Linked DNA regions of Diceros bicornis minor. The protein of the gene in region 1 interacts with the protein of each later gene in a pairwise test. Links are inferred from orthologs where the notes say so. Each region holds a gene or a part of one and is shown in the gene's direction. Other genes may lie near its edges.

What was found.
Region 2: the proteins of MAGED1 (region 1) and RBFOX1 interact in a two-hybrid assay, tested with the Homo sapiens proteins (2 studies listed by BioGRID and IntAct). The link is inferred for Diceros bicornis minor from reciprocal best matches to the Homo sapiens genes MAGED1 and RBFOX1.

Annotation. Positions count from the first base shown.
Region 1 is NC_080781.1:44,340,736-44,350,666, forward strand, and holds the start of MAGED1 (melanoma-associated antigen D1), read left to right. Parts: upstream 1-4,097; 5' UTR 4,098-4,177; intron 4,178-9,931. UniProt on the Homo sapiens protein: Involved in the apoptotic response after nerve growth factor (NGF) binding in neuronal cells. Inhibits cell cycle progression, and facilitates NGFR-mediated apoptosis. May act as a regulator of the function of DLX family members.
Region 2 is NC_080765.1:41,856,633-41,866,563, reverse strand, and holds the start of RBFOX1 (RNA binding protein fox-1 homolog 1), read left to right. Parts: upstream 1-3,473; coding exon 3,474-3,572; intron 3,573-9,931. UniProt on the Homo sapiens protein: RNA-binding protein that regulates alternative splicing events by binding to 5'-UGCAUGU-3' elements. Regulates alternative splicing of tissue-specific exons and of differentially spliced exons during erythropoiesis.

The DNA of each region.
Region 1 (9,931 bases):
ATTGATCATCTCCAAAAGTGGAAACCACCCAAATATCTTTCAATTGGTGAATGGATAAACAATTTGTGATACATCCATACAATGAAATACCATTCAGAAATAAAAACTGATGAATGATTGATACATGCAACGACTTAAATGAATTTCAAAAGTGTTATCCAAAGTAAAAGAAGCCTGTTTCAAAAGGTTACATATTCTACGTTTCCATTTATATGACATTTTAGAAAAGAAGAAACTAGACTGAAAGAGAACAGGTGAGTCGGCCAGGGTTTAGGGGTAGGGAGGACTGTGTGACTAATACAGGATATCATAGGGACTTTGAGGGATTTAGGGATTGTCTTGTATTCTGACTGTAGTGTGGTTACATGAATCAATGCATGTGCTAATATTCGTAGTACTGTACATGCCAAAAAAGTAGTTTACTGCATGTAATTTAAAAAAATGACAAATGTCTTTATGCACCATGGAGAAATGAATGCCTACATATATAGTTAAGTGAAAAAAATCGTGGTGCGAAATAGTTTGTATCATATGCTATTGTTTGGTAAAAATGTAAAAAAATATATACAATTGTTTGCTTGCATATGTATAAAATGTCTTTGAAAGAATAAGAACCTCACTAGGTCGCTAGGGGCCAGGTATAAGATGGAAAGTTTTTATTGCATATAATTTTATCTCATTTTTTGGTAATTACTTTTTTAAATTATTCTTTGTAACTTTATTATAATAGATGATATATACAAAATAATATGTGTAATATATTTGTAAATTATAAACAGCAGTGGTATAATGAACACTTCTGAACCATCTATCAACTCAAGAGCAAGATAATTATTAATAAATTTTCTCTGGCTATGAGATCCTCCTCTGCCTCTCTTCACCTATCCCAGAGGTAAACACTATCCATCAAACCACATGTCTTTCTGTTTATATAGGTATGTGCTTCTTGTTTTTAATGATTGAAATTTTTTATCCTATTTCATTTTATCTCTCTATGGATTTAAATTTATGCATTTTGCTTATTCTATTTTTTACTCTCACTGTGCTTCTGCTATTTTAGTAGTAACTTCTGAATATTTATTACAATTATTTAACTTAATGTCTGAACTTTAAAAATATATTAACTTCTCTCTCAATTTAATTCTTATCTCCATCTTTTCTTGTTATATAATATTTTTGTTCATAATCTTTGAATCACCATTTTCTTCAACCCCACAACTCAGTCCTAATTATTATGTTTTTATACATACCATATTTGTTTTTTAGATTGACATACATGTTTATCATTTTAACTTGCTCTCCATTCCTTCTAGCTTTTCAGACTGTCCTTCTGGGATCATTTCCTTTTTCCTGAGGTGTAGCCTGTAGGGCAGTAATTTTCAATCTCCTCCGTGCATCAGAAACACCCTAAAGAGCTTTAAATTCACATATAAATGCCAGACCTCACCCCTAGAGCTTTAGGTTAATTTTGGCTGGGACGGGAACTAGGCATTGGTATTAAAAAAAGAAGAAAGACAAAAGGTCTCCTACTGATTCTAATGGGCATCCAGAGTTGATAACTACTGCTTTGTAAGTTCCATATTTATTACGTTGTTTTGTTTATTGCTTGTCTTCCTCACTAAAATGTAAGTTCCAAAGTGCAAGGATTTTTTTCATTCCTTTACTTATGCATGTCTCTCTACTGCCTTGAGCAGTGACAACCACACAGTAGTTGACCAACAAATGTTTGTTGAGTGAATGAAAGAAAGTGATAAGAATAGGATACATGGCAGAAGCAGAGAAGAGGAGCTGTTGTCTAGTTTTGGTTAAGGAGTGAAAGAAAGAGTCAGCATGGTTTCGTGAAAGAGATAAAATGTGAGCTGACCTTTGAAGGGTGAATATGAGTTAACAGAGTGTGAAAGCACAGAGATTTGAGATCCTGGCGCACTTTCCAAATTATAAGCAGTTGTGTGAGACTTGGACTTAGGGTAGAAGAGGCTGAGTGGTGAGAGATGAGGCGAGAGAGAGAGAGAGAGAGAGACAGAGAGAGAGACAGAGAGAGAGAGAGAGAGACAGAGTTAGACTACCAAGGCATTTGTATACCATGGTAAGGAGTTGGGATTTGGGGAGAAATATGGAGAGTCTGAACTAAGATAGTTATCTTGGTGACTGAGAGAAATGGATGAAATCTATCAATGTTGTTCATATATCACCCTTTTAGTGAGCCCTTCTGTAATGGCAGCCCCCTACCTCTCTCCCACACACATTGCTATCCTACTTACCTGCTTTATTTCTTCATAGCACTTGTCACTTTTTAGCATGTATTTTCCCAAAAATTTTGTTATCTGACACAAGAATGTAACTCCTGTGAGGGCAGAAATTTTTGTCCGTTTTCGTCACAGTTCTATCCTGAGAGCCCAGTGCATATTAACTGCTCAGTAAATATTTGTTGCATGAACTAACAAAAAATTTGAATGTAGAGAGAGTCAAGGAAAATACTCAAGTTTCAATGCCTCTGGATTTCTGATAATCCACTGGCTATTTTTTTTTCAGCTCAATTCCCAAATATAATTAATTCTTAATAGCACAAGCCCCTAACTTTCTGTATTTATTCATTGATTACCACAATATCCTCTAAACCAACGTCTCTGCCTCAGATTGCACCAGTACAACCCATTTTCTATATTTTGGTTTGAAATGTTACTGTATACTTTCTTCCTTAAAATTCTTCTTTGACTTTCTGTTTTCCTCATAATTAAGCTCAGACACTACAACATGGCATGCAAGATCCTTCTTTCTCTGGCTTCTTACATCCAGCTTCATCTCTCATCACTGCTCCTTTCACATGATACTTCAACTCCACTGCCATTATTTCCTTTCATTCATCCGTTCAACCATTTATTCAACATTGAACAAGTCTTTATTGAGCATCCTGTAGGACGTGAGGTCTATTTTAGGTTTTTAGTATTGACCAGTCAATGGGATAGTCATAGTTCCTACACTATCTCCTCTTTACTGATTATTATTGTCACATTATAGTGCTGCTAATTGTTTATGTGTTCATTTCCCTCACTGGTTGGAGGGTCTTGAAATCAGAAGTATGTTTTGTTCTTCTTTATATGGGAAGTATCAGGAACCGAACCTTATATTGAGTGGTTGTTCAAAATATGTTGGTTGAATGACAAAATATGAGTCAAAATGTTGAAATGAAGTATAAAAATACTAGCAAAAGTGAGGACCTTGTGCTGGCTCCCATCATTGCCCTGACCACATTTTGGTCATTTATTCATTGAACAAACATTGATAATCACCTGTTTTATGCTAGACTTTCATATGTTTAAATGTCACCTTTAGCCCCTAGTCTGTAGGCTCCTGGTGCAATGCTTCTCTATGTAGCATAGTGTTTGGGACACGGTAAGCACTCAGTACATACTTGTGGATTGAATGAAAATAATCACAAAAGAGGAGAACTGGGGTACAGATTTTGGACTCAAAAGAGCTTTCTGGAGTTAGTGGCAATGAGTAATTCAATATTGAACTTTTAACGAGAGTAAAGATTATTCTTATTATTGAAACTTTTTGTCAGTTGTCATTTTCTTCATTTTTGGGGGGAGTATATAAGTATACAAGAATGCTTTCTAAATGAATTCACCTTTATTTATTTGGAAATTTGAGTATGGCATGAAACTCTTTGGATATCATCCCAATACAAACATGATTCAGATTTAAGATTTTTTAAAAATCTTGAAATTGAAATATGCCACTAATAAAAATGAACTTTTTTTCAAAACTGTGTGTCAGAAAACAGTAAACCAGTATGGTAAATACGTAACTATAGACATCCAAAAGTTAAGGGACTAAGGGTAAAGGAGGTATTCCAAAGGCTGAATCAACAAGGTGAGGTGACAAATTGAATACGTGGAGTTTGGCAGAGATACTGCAGTTCCTGGGATGACTACAGCCGGGATTTGTAAACAGTTACTGATTCCCCCTCCCAGTCGTTTTACATCACTACCCAGGTTCTCATCCGCTGAGAGAGCCAATAAGTTCAAGTATTGCAAGAGCTTGCTAGAGAGGCACAGGAAGTTGCCTGGAGTGAAGTGTGGGCGGGTGGCGGCAGAAGCTTAAGCTTCTGCCAAACAAAAGAAAATAGCACTTCCGGTCCCGCCAACGTCGCGTTGCGGCTTTCTTCGTCAAGGTGAGTGTAAAGAAAGGGTCTGGTAATTCTTACAAGTGAATCCCCAAACGCTGTAGGGAAGCTTTCCTCTTTGCTTCAACACGGGATGGAAAGAAGAATTCATCTCCAGAGTCCATTGTATGAAGGGTGTTTCTGATCCTTGTGGTTCCGGTCGCCTCCCTATCTCCTCTCTCCTACTCCAGAGATGGCAGGCGGTCGTCCCCTCCCCCTTCTGACTCTTGTGGTCCTTTTTGTCAGTGGTCATTCTTCACCTCTCCTCATTATCCCCGATCCTCTTCACGATCTTTCTGAGCCTGGATCATTCCCTCTACCACAGATTTCTTTCTTACCTCTTACTCCTACCTTCCACTCCACCCCATTTTAGCCTCAGAACTTTTGCAAACCCCTTCCCCCACTCTGAGCCCACATTCTTCCTTCTGACCCCAGTATCTTACTCCTCCGAAGGCTTCGGATCTCTCCTGTCCCCCTCCTGCAGAGGCCAGTGAATTATATACTTTCCAAAATCGGGTATGACTTCAGTTTCAAGGCCAGGGCTGTTTTTGTTCTTTTTAGAAATAAGCAAAGAAGCAGAAATTTTAGAGCCCTAAGAGACATAGGGACTCGTTCAAATTATTATGTTCATTTACTTTATTTTTTTACTGTAAACAAAATTACACAGAAGATATTGCACTGGTTTCAGTCCTCTACTCATGACATTAAAAAAAAATTACTTAGAATTGAATCCTCACAGTTTTAGAGGGGCAAACATAGTGGGTTTTGCTTATAACCTGGTGTCAGCTTTAGAGGGTGGAAGCTTTGCCATTCCCTTTAGAACTTCTCATAGGGCAGAAATGGTTGACAGATATGACATCCAATCACAAATTTATTATTTCACTTGAGTTGGGTTTATTATGCAGATCCTTTTCTTGTCTCTGGCAGCGACATGGAATAGCAAGCTGGCAGATTTTTCAAACAGATTTTTCCTAGGAGCTTTGCAAGTATTACCTATTTGGTGCAATGTAAACTTTTGTCTTTTTTTTTTTCGTTTTTTGCAACGTAAAATGTATTTTTCTGTTCCATTTGTCATGTGTAATTTGTCTTATGAGAACATTAGTTTATAATCACAATTTATTATTTCAGTTCTTTACCCAAGTGAGGGGAGATGATCGTTAAATTTATAATGAAAGTCAGGATTTTTCAGGCTCTAAAGAGGAATTTAACAAAGGCTCTCCTTGAACAAGCAATTTATTCCCTCTTTCTCCTGTAACTAGTGTATTATGCTTGCCAAAATAAGAGGTGATTCTTTTTTCTAGGCCGAGTATAATTTTCAGTTCTTTTAGAATAAACAATGAGGCAGAGATATCATAACACCAAAACACTTAGGAACTTTTTCAAAGGGTATTGCTGATGTCTCTATTCTCTATTCAAACCGTAATTACACAGCGTTTAAACATCATCACACTGGCTTCAACCCACTGTACATCCATCCATCCATTTATTAAAGAATTTTTTATTGAATAACTTTTATGTGCCAGACAGTGTTCTAAGCACTGAGGATACAACAGTGGAAGATAAAAACACAGTCTTTTATAGTTGAGAGATAGACAATAAATGAATATATAATAAATATATAATAGGTGGTGATGGGGAGGGGCTGTACTATTTTAGAAAAGATGATCAAGAAGGCCTCCCTAGTAAGGTGACATTTGAGCAGAAACCTAAAGGAAGTGAGGGTACAAACTATACAGATATTAGTGGGAAAACAGGATATAATCTACGTCAGTGTCTCTGCATTTTTTGTTCACTCTGCTTTCTACACTTCCCCTCACCCCACCCTGCCCATGGTCACTTTTCTGCATAACATAAATGCAGCACTCTACATACTCAAATAATCTAATCTGTCCATATAAATTCCCCATATTCTCTTCCTGCCTAGCTTCTTGCTACCATTTAGGTGAATCGTCAGTTACCAGCCCCTATGGGAAGACATCTCTATCTCCATCCTCACCTCTTCCTCAGTCTGTTTATTTGTGGTGCATTGTGTGTTATTGGACACCATATTTCCTTACCTCTCTCACTGCTCTTATCACTGCGTGTTCATATGTTGCCCATAAATATTTGGTATGGTAAATTGAAATTAATTCAGTGCTTATCTGTAACAGACAAGCTTTTAAATATAGTTGTCCCCCTAATGTTAAAAACCACCCTCTAAGGTCAGTATTACCGTTGTCATTTTACTGATGATAAAACCAAGGCTCAGAAGTGGATAGTAACTTGCTAGATGGTGGTGGAGTTCATGGAGTTAAGGTCTGTCAGACACTCAGTCCTGGCCTGGTTCTCTCTTTCTCTCCATCTGCCTGTCTGTTTGTCTCTGTTTATTAATGAGAAATAGAAAATATACAGAATATTTTATTTTATTATTTTATAAGACATAATCTGGGTGTAGAAATTTCATTTTGTAAAGTTTCCTTTCACAAATCGGATTATATCAGGTGCTTGAATTAGTTCCTAGTTATAAATATTAAGAGCTGAGGGGCATGATGAGTCTTTTTATTTGAACGTTTTTTAATAAAAAGTTTAAACAAGTATAAATTTAAAGAAGAGTTACAATGAATACTTTTATACTCCGAACCTAGATTCAACAGTTGTTAACTTTTGCCGTATTAGCTCACTTGTTCACTCACTTGCTTGCTCTATCTATCCATCCATCCATCCATTTTTTTATTGAGATATAATTTTTTGTATATTTTTTTAATCTATATTTTGGCTGAACCATTTGAGATTGGCAGGCATTGTTTTTAAGTAAACTTAAAAACATGCAGAAAGATGCACATATCGTAAATGTACAGCTCAAAGCATTTTCACAGTGTAAACACACCTGTGTAAACCAGCATTGAGATTAAGAAATAGAACATGATCAACATCTGAAAGCCCTTGAATGTATTCCCTGCCAGTCACAACTAAACTCCAAATTAATCACAGTCCTGCTTCTATGACTGCTATCATTTTGCCTGTTTTTGGACTTTATAAAAATACAATAGTATAGTATGCATTTTTTGGGGTCTGACTTCTTTGGCTTAAGATTCTGTTTTGGAGATTCATCCATGTTATTAGGTGTTATAGTAAGTCCTTCATTCTCATTGCTATGTATTGCATTATGTGAATATATTATGATAGATGAGCATTTTGGTTGTTACCATTTTTGGCCTGTAAATAGTACTGTGAACATTCTAATACATGTCTTTTGGTGATATATGCACACATTTCTGTTGGGCATATACCTTAGAATTGCTGAATCATAGGTTATGTATATGACTAGCTTTAGTAGATACTGCCAACCAGTTTCCTAAAGTGGTTGTACTAAAAAACTCCCAACAGAAATTTTTAAGAGTTCCAGTTGCTCTAGAGTATTGCCAACACTTGTCATTGTCTTTTCTTTTTAAGAAAAAAAAGTAGCCATTCTAGTGGTTATGAATGGTATCTCATTGTGGTTTTAATTTGCATATCTCTGGTGATAAATGTGTATCTTTCCATATGTTTGTTGGCCTGGATATCTTTTTATGAGGTGCCTATTCAAGTCTTTTGACCACTTTTTCTTTTGAACTGTCTTTTTCTTATTGATTTGTAGGAGATCTTTCTATATTAAGAATGTGAATACTTTGTTAGATATATTTATTGCAAATCTCAGTTACTTGCATTTTTGATCTCTTAATAGTGTCTTTTGATGAACTGAAGATCTCAATTTTAATATTGTTCAATTCATAATTTTTCCCTTTCGTGGCTACTCCTCGTTTGTCCTGGTTAAGAAATATTTGCCTTTCTCAAGGTCATGAAGATATTTTTTATGTTGTGTCTTTGTTTAATCCCTCACTTATATTTACGGTTCCTTTGTAATTGATTTTTGTGTATGTTGCCAGTATGAGTTATGGGTATGGGTAAAGGGCCTTTTTTTTTTTTGGTCAAAATGGACATCTAGTCAACCTAATACAACTTAATTGTAAAGATCATTCTTTCTCTTCTATAGTGTCATCTTTTTCATAAATCAAATGATTAGGTTATATATGTGGTTTGTTTCTGGATGCTATTCAGTTTGGTTTATTTCTCTCTCCTTGTCTGAGCGCCACTGTCCTAATTAATGTAACTTTATAATATACCTTATATATGGTCATTAAGTCCTACAGTTTTGTTCTTTTTCTTCAATAATGCCTTGGTTATTCTTGGTCTTTTGATTTTCCGTATACATTTTAGAGTCACCTTGGAAATTACCATAAAAATTCTCCTTGGCGTTTTGATTGAGATACCACCTAATAGATCAATTTGAGGAGCACATATCATGGCACTTCACCCCTAAATATCTCAGCATTCATCTCCTAATATTAGGAACATTTTCTTAATAATTTAATTACCATTATCTTATGAATAAAAATTAACAGTAATTCCCTAATATCATCTAATACCTAATACATTTTCAAATTTCTTTTTTTCCCCAACAAGCCTTTTACAGCTGGTATTTAAAACCATCTTTCAACCTAGATTAAAGTATTTTTATATTTCTTGAGGATTTATTGTTGTCACTTTCTCTATTTTGTTAAACTTACAGATGTTTATATATTAAGTACTTTTCAATCCATTGTGGTCATTATTTCTTCTGTTGCTCAAACTGTTCAGTTTGGAAGGGGCCAGTTGGAGCCCCTTCACATTGGCTTCTGTCTTTTTTCTTTTATTACTGAAATTTTCAAATATATTTAAAGTAGAAAATAGTAAAATAAACATGCATGTATCCATTCCCTACCTTCCACAATTAATACCATTTTGCCAATTTTGTTTGATCTTTTCTCCTTACCCACTTTTTTCACTGGGGTATTTTAAAGCAATCCCAGACATCGTCATTACACAGGTAGATAACTCATTATGCATCCCTAACTCATAAGTGCATTATATGAAGTAACCACTAGGCCATTATACTTAGTAAGATTAACAATAATTCCTTATATCATCTAATACTCAGTCCATATTCAAATTTCCATGATTGTCTTAAAGATGTCTTTTTACAGTTGCTTTGTTAAATCCGTATCCAAACAAGGGCAGTTTATTGCCACTGTATATTTTTCTCTTAAGTTTCTTTTCCTATAAGACCTTCTATTACCGCCCCCCCCATTTTAAAGAGCATTGATTACAGAAACTAAGTCATTTGTCTTATTGACAAATGGATTTAGAGGACTGTTTCTTTGAGGTGGCATTTATTTTGTTTTCCCTTTCCCATGTTTCCTATTCACTGGCATTTAGAGCTAGAGGCTTGATTAGATTCAGTTTCAATTATTTTTTAAGGGAAAGAATCATTTCAGGCAGTGATATGCACTTTCTATTGCATTTCATCATGTTTGGTTTTATCTTTTTAATGATGCTGGGACTGATTTGTGTTTTCAGATGTTCTCAGCCTGATCCCTCCACTGTAGCATCTCCTACCAATCTTTCTCTTGTTGGTTTTAGCAGCCATTGAAGATAATTGTTTAAGTTCATTATTTCAATAGTCGTTGACAAATAGTGGTCTAATTCTATCACCTTCTGCGTTTATTAGCTGGAATTATTTTATAAAGAAGACCTTTTCCTTATCAGCTACCTTTTTGTCTTGAAGTACATTTCATAAAATGAAAGTCAGGAATTTTTAGGAATTAATGGCTTTTCATGTATTTTAGTGTATCCATTGTGATCCTTTTTTTCTTTTCTTTTTTTTTTTTGGTGCTCAAACTGTGTCATCTTAGAAATTAGGATCCC
Region 2 (9,931 bases), on another chromosome or scaffold:
GAAGTATCATTTGAAGATGGCGTTGCTCACTGCTGGTTTTCTGACCCTCTCTGCTTCCTACAGGCTATGTACAACCATTCAGGGAAGGGTCCTTGCAGCTGAAAGGCAGGGGGTGACCCTTGAATGTGGTGCAATATATACACCCAAATGATACTGAGTGCCCAAGGATTGTGTGTAGAGAAAGAGAAGAGTGTTTTCTTTCCCCACTTCTCTCATTTATTGATGTAGAAGAATCCTTTGGGAGCTAGCAGCATCGATGTGGCTTTTGCTCAGTCTCTGTTGAGACAGAATTCAAATTCAGCATCCCCAGATGCTTCTTAAAAGGCTGGCAGAGGTTTGACATGGAGTGAGCAATGATTGTAGATATGGCATTACCATTTGATTTGGGGTCATCCGATGCTCTATTCCTGGTTAACGTGAACTGAGTTTACTAGCCCCTGTAAAATCTGTCCTACCCCATCGTTCATGCGGGTGCCGCATGATGGGGCGTGTGTTTGTCTCTGTGCATAATCGTGTTTGTATGCACTTGTGCAGGGGTGTTTGGACACCCCTAAACAACTAAAGGAAGTTGTCTCTGGACAACTTCGTTGTCCAGAGAATGCAGCCTGGTTCCGAGCAATTTTGAGATGCATTTAGAAGGATTGGATTCCATTGTTTCGCTTTGCAGACTTCCAATGCACCCCACCATGAAGACCTAAGTTTAACGGGAAGTCTGAGCCATTATTGTCAAATGGGTCTATAGGACTCCAATCACCACTGAGGGTTTTCAACTTTGGGGAGAAAACGGATCGGAAAACCAGTGTTGGCTGAGTGCAGCAGAGAGCAGTTATTGGCTCCTTACATAATGTATTTGTTTTTCATTAAACCATTCAGATAAGGTCTTATTAAAGAAGTGCCATGTATTATTTATCGTGTTTTATGAAAATGAGCTGAAGGGAAAATTCTGTCCTCTTCTTGGGGCATTTGCAGGCTTTTCCAATTCCAGCAAGAGAAAAATGAAGGAAAGCAGGATGAACCCCTGTCAGTACAGCAAGTTGCTTGAGGCAAAAGGAAAGGATGGGAAGAGAGAAAGGATGGAAAAGGCAGAATGGTTGACCTTTTATTCCACATATGTTTTGTGGAGTGGCTTTCTCATGTATTTTGGCAATTGCAAAATTAAAAAAATAAATAAATAAAAGACAGGCAGAAAGTAAGAAAACAAAGAAAACAGAGAAACAGTTTATTGGAAATCAGACCTTGTCTGATTTAATGTGATTTCTGAAACAACATAGAGCAAGGATTTTTCAGACTAACCACTGCCACCCCCTCACCAAAAAGGCAGCATCAGATACCAGCCCATGCTCCACTCATCTCCCATATCAACTTCTACTTAGGGCTAAGCATGCTACCGTGTCCCCTCTAAATTGATCAGATGTGTAAGTCCCAGGGCGTTGGAGGGGCTGGATTTGTCAGATGAGGAGAAAGAAACAGCCTGGTCAGGGCCTGGTGTTTGGCATAGACTTTATAGTTATCGATGGCATTTCAAAACAGAACAACAGAAAAAATGAAGCCGTGGAGTAATTAATTTCCTTTTCTTCAGAAAGCATTTTGATTAGCCTGCAAAGTGAGTTGTGCCTTGCGAGCTCATGGCTCAGTTCAGAAGCTGTCATTTGGCTGAGAGGGTCCTCGTGAGCCTCACTGAGGGGTCAGTGGGGATGCCCCTGGTGGCCAGTCCCCGAGAACCCTGCCTTAACTTCCCCTTCCTGAGGGTGCCCCCATCGCTCTCAGGGTGTGCTCCATCTGCAGGGCAGTGGCAGGCTCCCAGCTAGGTTCCTTGCAGGGAACCCAGCAATCAAAAAAGATGCTGTTCAGACAGCCTCTTGCTCTGAAAATAAAAAGAAAATCCAATCACTGGGTCAAAATCTATGTTATAAAATATGGCTACTATTCCTGATCATCATTTTACTGCTGCCAAGAATGTACTTTTATTTTCTGTGGGGACCAAGGACATGTTAGAGTCTTAATATTTTCTTTTGATTTGCAGATCACATCCCATTTTATTGCATAAAGACTAACGAAATCTACTAATGAATAATTATTACTTCATAAAATAAAGGGGAGCGGGGAGACCCCTCTGCAAGAACAGAATGCTAATTTGGCCAAGGAGGGCTGGCCAGGAAGGAGAAAAATAAAATAAACAAACTATTGTAATTTGCCCGCTGCAGCCCACAGAGTAATCTGTTATCAGACAAGGACTTCCCCATCCTGCGCATTTATAATTTGAGAAGAGCTGGGATTCTAGGCTGAGAGAAGCCCCCCTTGCATTCACGGGGGACTGGCGTGTTAGTTAGTCCAACAAGCTTGATTTGCACGCCAGCCAGGGCGGTTTCTCCCATTCAGCGGCTCAGGGGCTGGAAGGTGTGCTCGCGGCTGCCTGCCCAGCCAAGACGAGGCGCAGAGCGAAAGCTGCGCCCCACACGCCTGGGGGTGCATCGCCGGCCGGGCCGCCCTGCTGGGGGTGGGGGGACCCCCAGAAACCGCCCTGCCTCAGGCGCCTGCAGCCCCAGCCCCCCCTGCCCCCAGCCCCTAGCATCGTCTCAGCACTCTCACGAGGGGGAATCCCATTTCTGTGTTTATTTTCCAACGAGTCAGGCAAACAAACCGCCACCAAAATCTAAGACTCCGGGTCCCAGCTGGGCAATCGCAGTAATTGTCCAGCTCGCCTGGATGCTGGCGATGTGGGGCGCTCGCTTGCTTCCTCACCCGCCCCGCGGAGATTTTTAGCAGACACAATTTGAATTTTGGTGAGTCGTTTAAAAAAAAAATAAAAAAGGCAAAGGGGAGGGAAAAAAAAAAAAAAACAACCCTGCCCCTGGACCCATTTGACAAATGAGAAGGCACGCAGCATCAGCACCAGCCGAGTGAGCCTCAGTGTGAGTCAAAATCCCTCTCTCTCTCTCTCACTCTCTCTCTCTCTCTCTCTCTCTCTCCTCCTTTCTCCCCCTCCTTCTCTCTCTCGCCCTTAGCTTTATCCCCCCCCTCTACTCAGCATCTACAGGAGGGCATCCACCCCCTCTACCTTTCACAGAAGTTGCCTTTGCCGGTTCTTGTCATCTTCCCGGGGGCGTGGAGTGGGGGGCACCTTCCACTTTGAGGGGCATCAGAAAGTAGGCCCAATAAACCAGAGAAACGATAGCGCCACAAAGGAAACAAAATAGTTTCCTGGCCCTCTCAAGTGTCTTAGTTGGAGGCAGATGAACGCCTGGATCTAGCAAACCCTGAGGGAAGGAAAGCGAGGGAGGAGGGACGCGCGGGGTGCGGCAGCGGGGAGGGAGAGAGAGAAAGAGAGAGAGAGGAGAAAGACAGCCACCGGGTTTTGACTTAGATAATCAGCAAAATTAAAAAGAAAAAAAAAATTGTAGCGACCAGGCAAAGAGCGGCGTGATTGCATGCGAGCGTCCCCAGTCGTGCTTGGCGGGCGCCAGAGAGACACGATGCAGCATCCTCTGACGGGGGCCACCTGCGTGGCGCTCCCCAACGTGGGCATGTGTCCCCAGCTCTCGTGTGCCTTGACTTTTATGTACTTACAGCAGGTAAGGCGCGCGTCTTCCCTCGGTGGCTGCTTTCCGGGGCTCGGCGAACTCGGTACCCGCGTCGCTGGGTTGCGCTTTGGTACCTTGGAGGGGTTTGGGGAAGGGGCTCATGCTTTTGGACGGGAGGGGTGGGACCGAGCCCCTCGTTCTCTGTGGAGCCCAGACACCCCGCGCTGAGCTGTTTTTACACCTCAATGAATACTTTGAACGCCTGATTCTGAGCTTGGGTACAGGGAGTTTAAAATTGCAAACTGCATCTTCCTACCTCGCATTTTTCTCGTGACAGTGCGTCCGGTGGCGATCTGAGTCTAAGACCCTTTTGATGCTAAGAGTTATGCTAAGAGTTTGGATCTTTGTGGAGGCACTTGGGTGCCTGGAGTTTTAATTCAGCTGTTTTAATAGGGAGTGGAAAAACATATGTGTGTGTGTACGTGTGCTCCGTATTTTTGTTTTCTTAAGTTTGTCTGGGTTGTGCTATATTCAGTCCGCTTGGGATGGGAGCCTTTGGGTTTCTGGAGTGTCTCAGCCCCAGAATCTGCCTCCAAACTCACTGGTGTGCTGTGATGAAGGCGAGCAGTTTGGGATGCTGTCTTTGTTGGCATGTGTAAAGGCTTTTTTTTTCTCCTCTATTCCCTTTTAATGGTCTTGCCAGGGATTCTGTGTTTATATTCCCTTCTGTGTACATTTCAGAATCATTCATTATGTTTCTCTCTGTCTTTCTCTGGGTATTTCCCTTGGACCCTCTCTGTCTCTCTTTCCTTCTTTACTAGTAGGGCTGCAGGCTGAGTTGGTTCCTGGGCTTGGGAACCTTGTGGAGTGACAAGCCCAGCTCTGCCTCACTGGGCAGGGGCTGCGGATGTGACCGGCAGGGATAGGAGGGTTTTCTCATGCCGATGGGAATCCTTCTCCCTTCCTAGGATCAACCACCCTGCTGCATGAAGAGTTAACAGTGATTGTAGACATTTTATTTGTTTTTCGATGGACTCCCTTCCAGAGCACCATTTGTTAACTGTGTGTGGTTGGGGTTGACTAAACTTCCTCTACGAGTGTTCAGAGGGGCCTCCTTCTCCGAAGACCCTCAGTTTCAATCTGTGTTACAGGAATATATGTGTTCATAAAACGTCAATATTCTGTTTCCAACATTTGGGTAATTTGTTATCAAGTTGGTTGCCTCCAGAAAATCGCTCTTAGGTGTATTTTCTGTTGCAAGTCTTTTTGCCAACAGCCTTTTTTGTTGTTTTAATATCTTGGAAACAAATTGGTTTATCTTTTTAAATATTGTTTTATTCCATTTCTCATTAAGTAAATTGTGCCAGGAAACACTTCCCAAGAGCCTACTGGTAACATATTATATGATGCATCTGCTTCTAACATTTCTATGCCTTTTCTGTGAGTTCCCGTGTGTGTGTGTGTGTGTGTGTGTGTGAGTGTGTTTTACACCAGTTACCCACCAGAAGAGTGTCCTAATGAGCATTTCTACAGATGATAAGCCTCAGTTGGATTTAATCAAATTATTAATATTAGTTGATCATTTGCTCCCTGTATTCACTTCTTTCATGTTATTTATGAATCAGTTTGAACAGCAGTACCTAATAAATAGAATGCTATAGGTAGTCAGTGTTCTCACACTTTCTCTGTGCAATATTCTTTTTTTAATAGATCGATGTTTCCTCCTTCTAGATTGTTAAATTGGTTTGCTCATTTAGACACAACTCAGGAAAGAAGACAGGGACTCTGAGTGAGAGGTTATTCTTGCCATGAAAAGGACAAGTTTATAGGATCCATGCAGGAGTTCTCAGCATCTCCCAGGCAATCTTTTCCAGGAGGGAAAATACTCCTGCCATGGAAAGGGGAGGCTCAATGGGAATGTTAGCAGCCATGACAAATATTTAGAAATGACTAAATCAGAGTCATGGTTCTATATGAAGATAGATGGAGGTGGGTTTTTGAAATGTGCTTTGGAATGCACCCCGCTCTTGAAAGGGCTTGTCATGCTCTCAGTGGAAGTATTTGTAAGGTGATGCTGTGATAGTGTCAGAATGCGGTGTGTGTGCGTGTGCGTACGTGCATGTGTGTATTTTTCTGAGTTTCACTAAATGCCTGAAGCATAGTACAGGCAGACATTTATTTTTGTCTGTCTTATTCAGAATCAGGTTTTCTAGCCACACCTCCCATCCTTCCTAAAGGCTCACTCTCAGGGTGGGAGAGCCATACCTTCAGGTCTCTCCCAGCCATTGCTGTCATGATAGTTTGTGTAGAAGTCTCATGTCACTGCTTTTATTTAGCAGTCCAGATAATTGGCTGATTAATGGTGTGAAATAGTTCACTTCAATATCCACAAACCACTTACCGATACGATCTATACATCGTCTATACATATATTGCCACTATATTTTCTATCTGCTATTAATCTATAGCTATTATTGTATCTCTATTTAATTTTGATGATCAGAGGGCTAATATGTACTCTCAGAGTTAGTTGATCAAATGATGAATTAGGCAACATCTGTGATAAATGACACCTTCGTTGGAAACGTTTTATTATTATTTAGAAATAAACATAGTTCAGGAGTCTTTGTCATTCAGATCACCAATTATATAAGAAAATAATTAAAACACAACTCTCTTATTTTGGAGCTTTTATCATTCTGTTTTATAAATGCGCAAACTCTGTTTAGGGGCCAGCAAGTCTTCAGTGAAAGATATTTTCCTGGAACGAATTTTCATATGGCACTTATTTCTCATCTAGTATCTAAGGAAAATTACTTCATCGTTTGCTTTCTTTGCCTCATCCCTGACATCCGATCTTTCTTCCTAAACCTTCCCAGATTTGTTCCTAAGACAACTCATGAAAATAAAAATCAATTGGGATACCTCAGCGTCTGAGTCTTCTCTGAATGACCAAGTGAAAACTATGTAACCCTTTTGCCACAAAGAACTTACTTAATCAGGCCAAAGAAGAGGCGACGTCGGTGTTTAAATTATTAGACTTATTCCATTTCATTTATTTATATCTTCCAGTAACTCTGCTTTGGATAGGTATTTTGGTACAGTTAATTTCTTTTTCTTTCTCTCTGTCCTCTCTTTTAAAGTTGGAGATGTTACTACTATCTTGTGGTTGTAGACCATTCTCAGATGGAAGGGACAGGCAAGCCCTGGAACAACTGGCTTCAATTTTGCTGTCCACGGAAAGCCCCTGCTTCAGCCTCTGTTCTTGACACAATGCAGTGGCTTTATCCAGTGTCTTCTTCGATGGTGAATCTTCTTCTCCCAGATGAACTTCAACTCACATCTCCCCAATACAGAATCTGTCCAGAGTTCCAAAGTGGGTACCCATTTAAACATTCTGGCTTTGAGAGAAAATTCTGAATCCAAATTCCAAATTTGGGGGTTTGCTGTGGGCTAGTTCGAAAGAGAATGTGTTTTGTTTTCCACAGAGAGAGAAATAGAAAACCACACTCACATTCATAACACAAAAATGTAGATGCTTTATTCCCATCCTAAGTCACAGGAAGCCCACCAGAGAACATTCATTGCATGGTAAAGGATGGCAAGGCTTCGGCTAGAGCAGACAAGACTTGTTTTCTGAAGCACGCTGCATGTCAGGTTCCCCCAGAGCTGTTTCACGCTGAGTTCCACCTTCCTGAAAGAGGAGAAGTACCATATTAACTTAGTTTTCCCTGTTCCTAAACCACCATCAGTGTCTCCCAGTCCCGTTCTAAGAAAGCTTCTCATCTGTCAAATTGTATTCCCTCAGAACCTTTTTATCAAGCTAAATTTAAAAACAAGTCAAATGCTTAAAATCCACATTAAAAGAGGGGAGAAAAAAGGGGCTCTAAAATAGGCCATGCCACTGTCAATATCCGAAGATTGGTAATTTTTCCCACTTAATGATGATCCATGTGGTTTGTTTTAAATAGTGAAGTGGTTTGTACAAAGGGTAATTCCTGGTAAATGAAGCCATTGCTCACCGTGGACATCTTCAGATCGAAAGCAATTGAACTGAAACCTGCATAGCAACCCTTTCTGTCTTTAATTAGAAAGTGGTTCTTGTGTAGGGTGACCCGGAAGATGGGATCTCACATGAAGACTGTAGGAGGGGGCAGCGTCCCCATGCACCGGCTGCGATTATAAATTTGGGAAACGTGAGGTAGGCCATAGCAATTATGGCTGCGTAGAAAAGTTCAATTCTCATTCCAGTTACTTTCCTTGTGCTGCTCAGCCCGATGATTTATAGGGGCCCAATGGCATTTTATCACCTTTTTTCTTCTTGGCTTAATCCCATGTTGATTTATTAGATCGTGCTGTGGATTGGGGTAGTCAATTGTGTCAATAACGCAGAAAAGAATTAGGATAGATTATCTTCATGTCTGAATTGTTTAAGGAATTTAAGTGGCTGGAATGAGCACATTTCCAGGCCCGGGTGACTGTCTGATAAAACATAGGTCCCTCTGTTTCTTTCTACAGAGATCCTATGTCATAAATTGGTTTATTAACCAATCTTCCTAGTTTCTCTGCTTTTTCCAATTAAGGTGAGAAGACATGAATTGTGGGGCTCTTATTAGCCAGATAAGGCCCATATCTCAGGTGGGCTGGGGTTCACTCTGTGTTTCTCCCATTTCAGGAATCTTTGGGGATTTATTGACTGCGGGGTTACTTGGGTTGCCTCTGCTTTAAGATTATTTAATCCGACATTCATTTGTGAAAATTGTAAGCATCTGTTAGTCCTTAGACCCAGTTCTGCGCCATTCGGCAGGGCTGCCTGCCATTTCATAGCAGTTTCCGTGTCAAAACGTGCAACCGGCCGCTTCTGCCTTTGCCCGAGTGGAGAAAGCCCGTGTTATTAGTGCTCACACACCATCTGTTTTCCTTACAGCTGGCCCTTGAGTAATTGTCCAGTAGCTGATGGACTGAGGGTAGACAATCTTTTTTAGGGTTTTCTGATTCGTTTAACCAGGCTCTCTGCCCCAAGAGGAAACATAATGCTTGTTTATTCATATTGGCCGGGTAAAAACAGGGTAGTTTGTCAGGCAAATAATAGTCTTCTGGAAGAGAAAGAAATTGCAGCATTGTAAACAAAATCAGGTTGGTGTGTCTGTGCCTAAGGGGCCCTGTGGTGCGCAGGAGATGTCATCCTGTGAATGAGGCAGAGCTGACAAAGTGTGGGCGTAATTGCCCCATCTGCAGAGACCTTTTTAATGGATGAGGAGAGGTGTCCCAGGGTGCTGTTTAATTCAATTAAGAAAAGCAAAGAAAGTTCCATTCATCAGTAAAGTTACCTATTTCCCGGCACCGCCCAAGAGAACTTTACCGGGCTGAGCACTGACCCGTGGCTGTCTGCGTGATGTGGCATGCCTTGCCTGGCCCCATTGAGAGGGGCTGTGTCAGATAGGGTCAGCTCTCAGGCACAATAGCTCAGGAGGGCCCTGGCCCTGGCCCTTCCACTGTGCTGAGTGCAAGAGAGCTGGGGAAATGAGCAACGATCCTGCAGGCCACCCCTGCAGGGAGACACTGTCAGAGATGGGGCTCTCTGAAGGATCCCCGAATCCAGTGCCTGAGCCTGTCATAGGGTTAGGAAAGGGCTTATATGGTTGGAACTTTCTGGCTCCTGAAAGCATTTGGGAAAAATGGATTTCCTGTCTATTTCCCGTCTTCTTGGCATATTGTGGTCCTGACTGGTTGGTCCTGGCTGAAAAAGAGCAAACAGTGACTACTGCCTATTGCCTGGGATCCCACTTCCAATTGCTCTCTTGTTAATCTATTTTTCTTATATTTGTTAAGTACCAGGCAGTTTACAGAGCACTTTTGGTGTGCTCCTTCTGACTCGTTAGACTGTAGGTGACATAATGGCACAGACTTCTCCATTCTGTTTGTTACTCTACCCACAATGCCTAGAATAATGTAATACATGTAATATGTAGTAGTTGGTCAATAAAAAAAATTGAGAAATGAATGAATACATTTGGACTTTCTAGAACCTTATAGGCAAAGGGAGGCAGTTATTGCCACTGCTTTTTACAGATATATATGATGACACACTCAATCACTTATTCATTCTTTCATCTGGCCATGCACAACTTTGTTTCCACATTCAATCATTTATTCATTCTTTCATTTGGCTGTGGAAAACATTGTTTCCACATTCAGTCATTTATTCATTTTTCGTTTGGCCATGCAAAACATTATTTCCAGGCCTTGAGAATATTGCAGCAAATCAGTTAGGAAAGGTCCCCGCCACGATGGAGCTGGCATTCCAGTAAAAGAATAGATGATGCAAAAGAAAGTGAATCAAGAAGATGTTTTCAGATTGTGGACAGTGCTGTGCAGGAAACAAGCAGGGTGGTGGGATAAGAATAAGG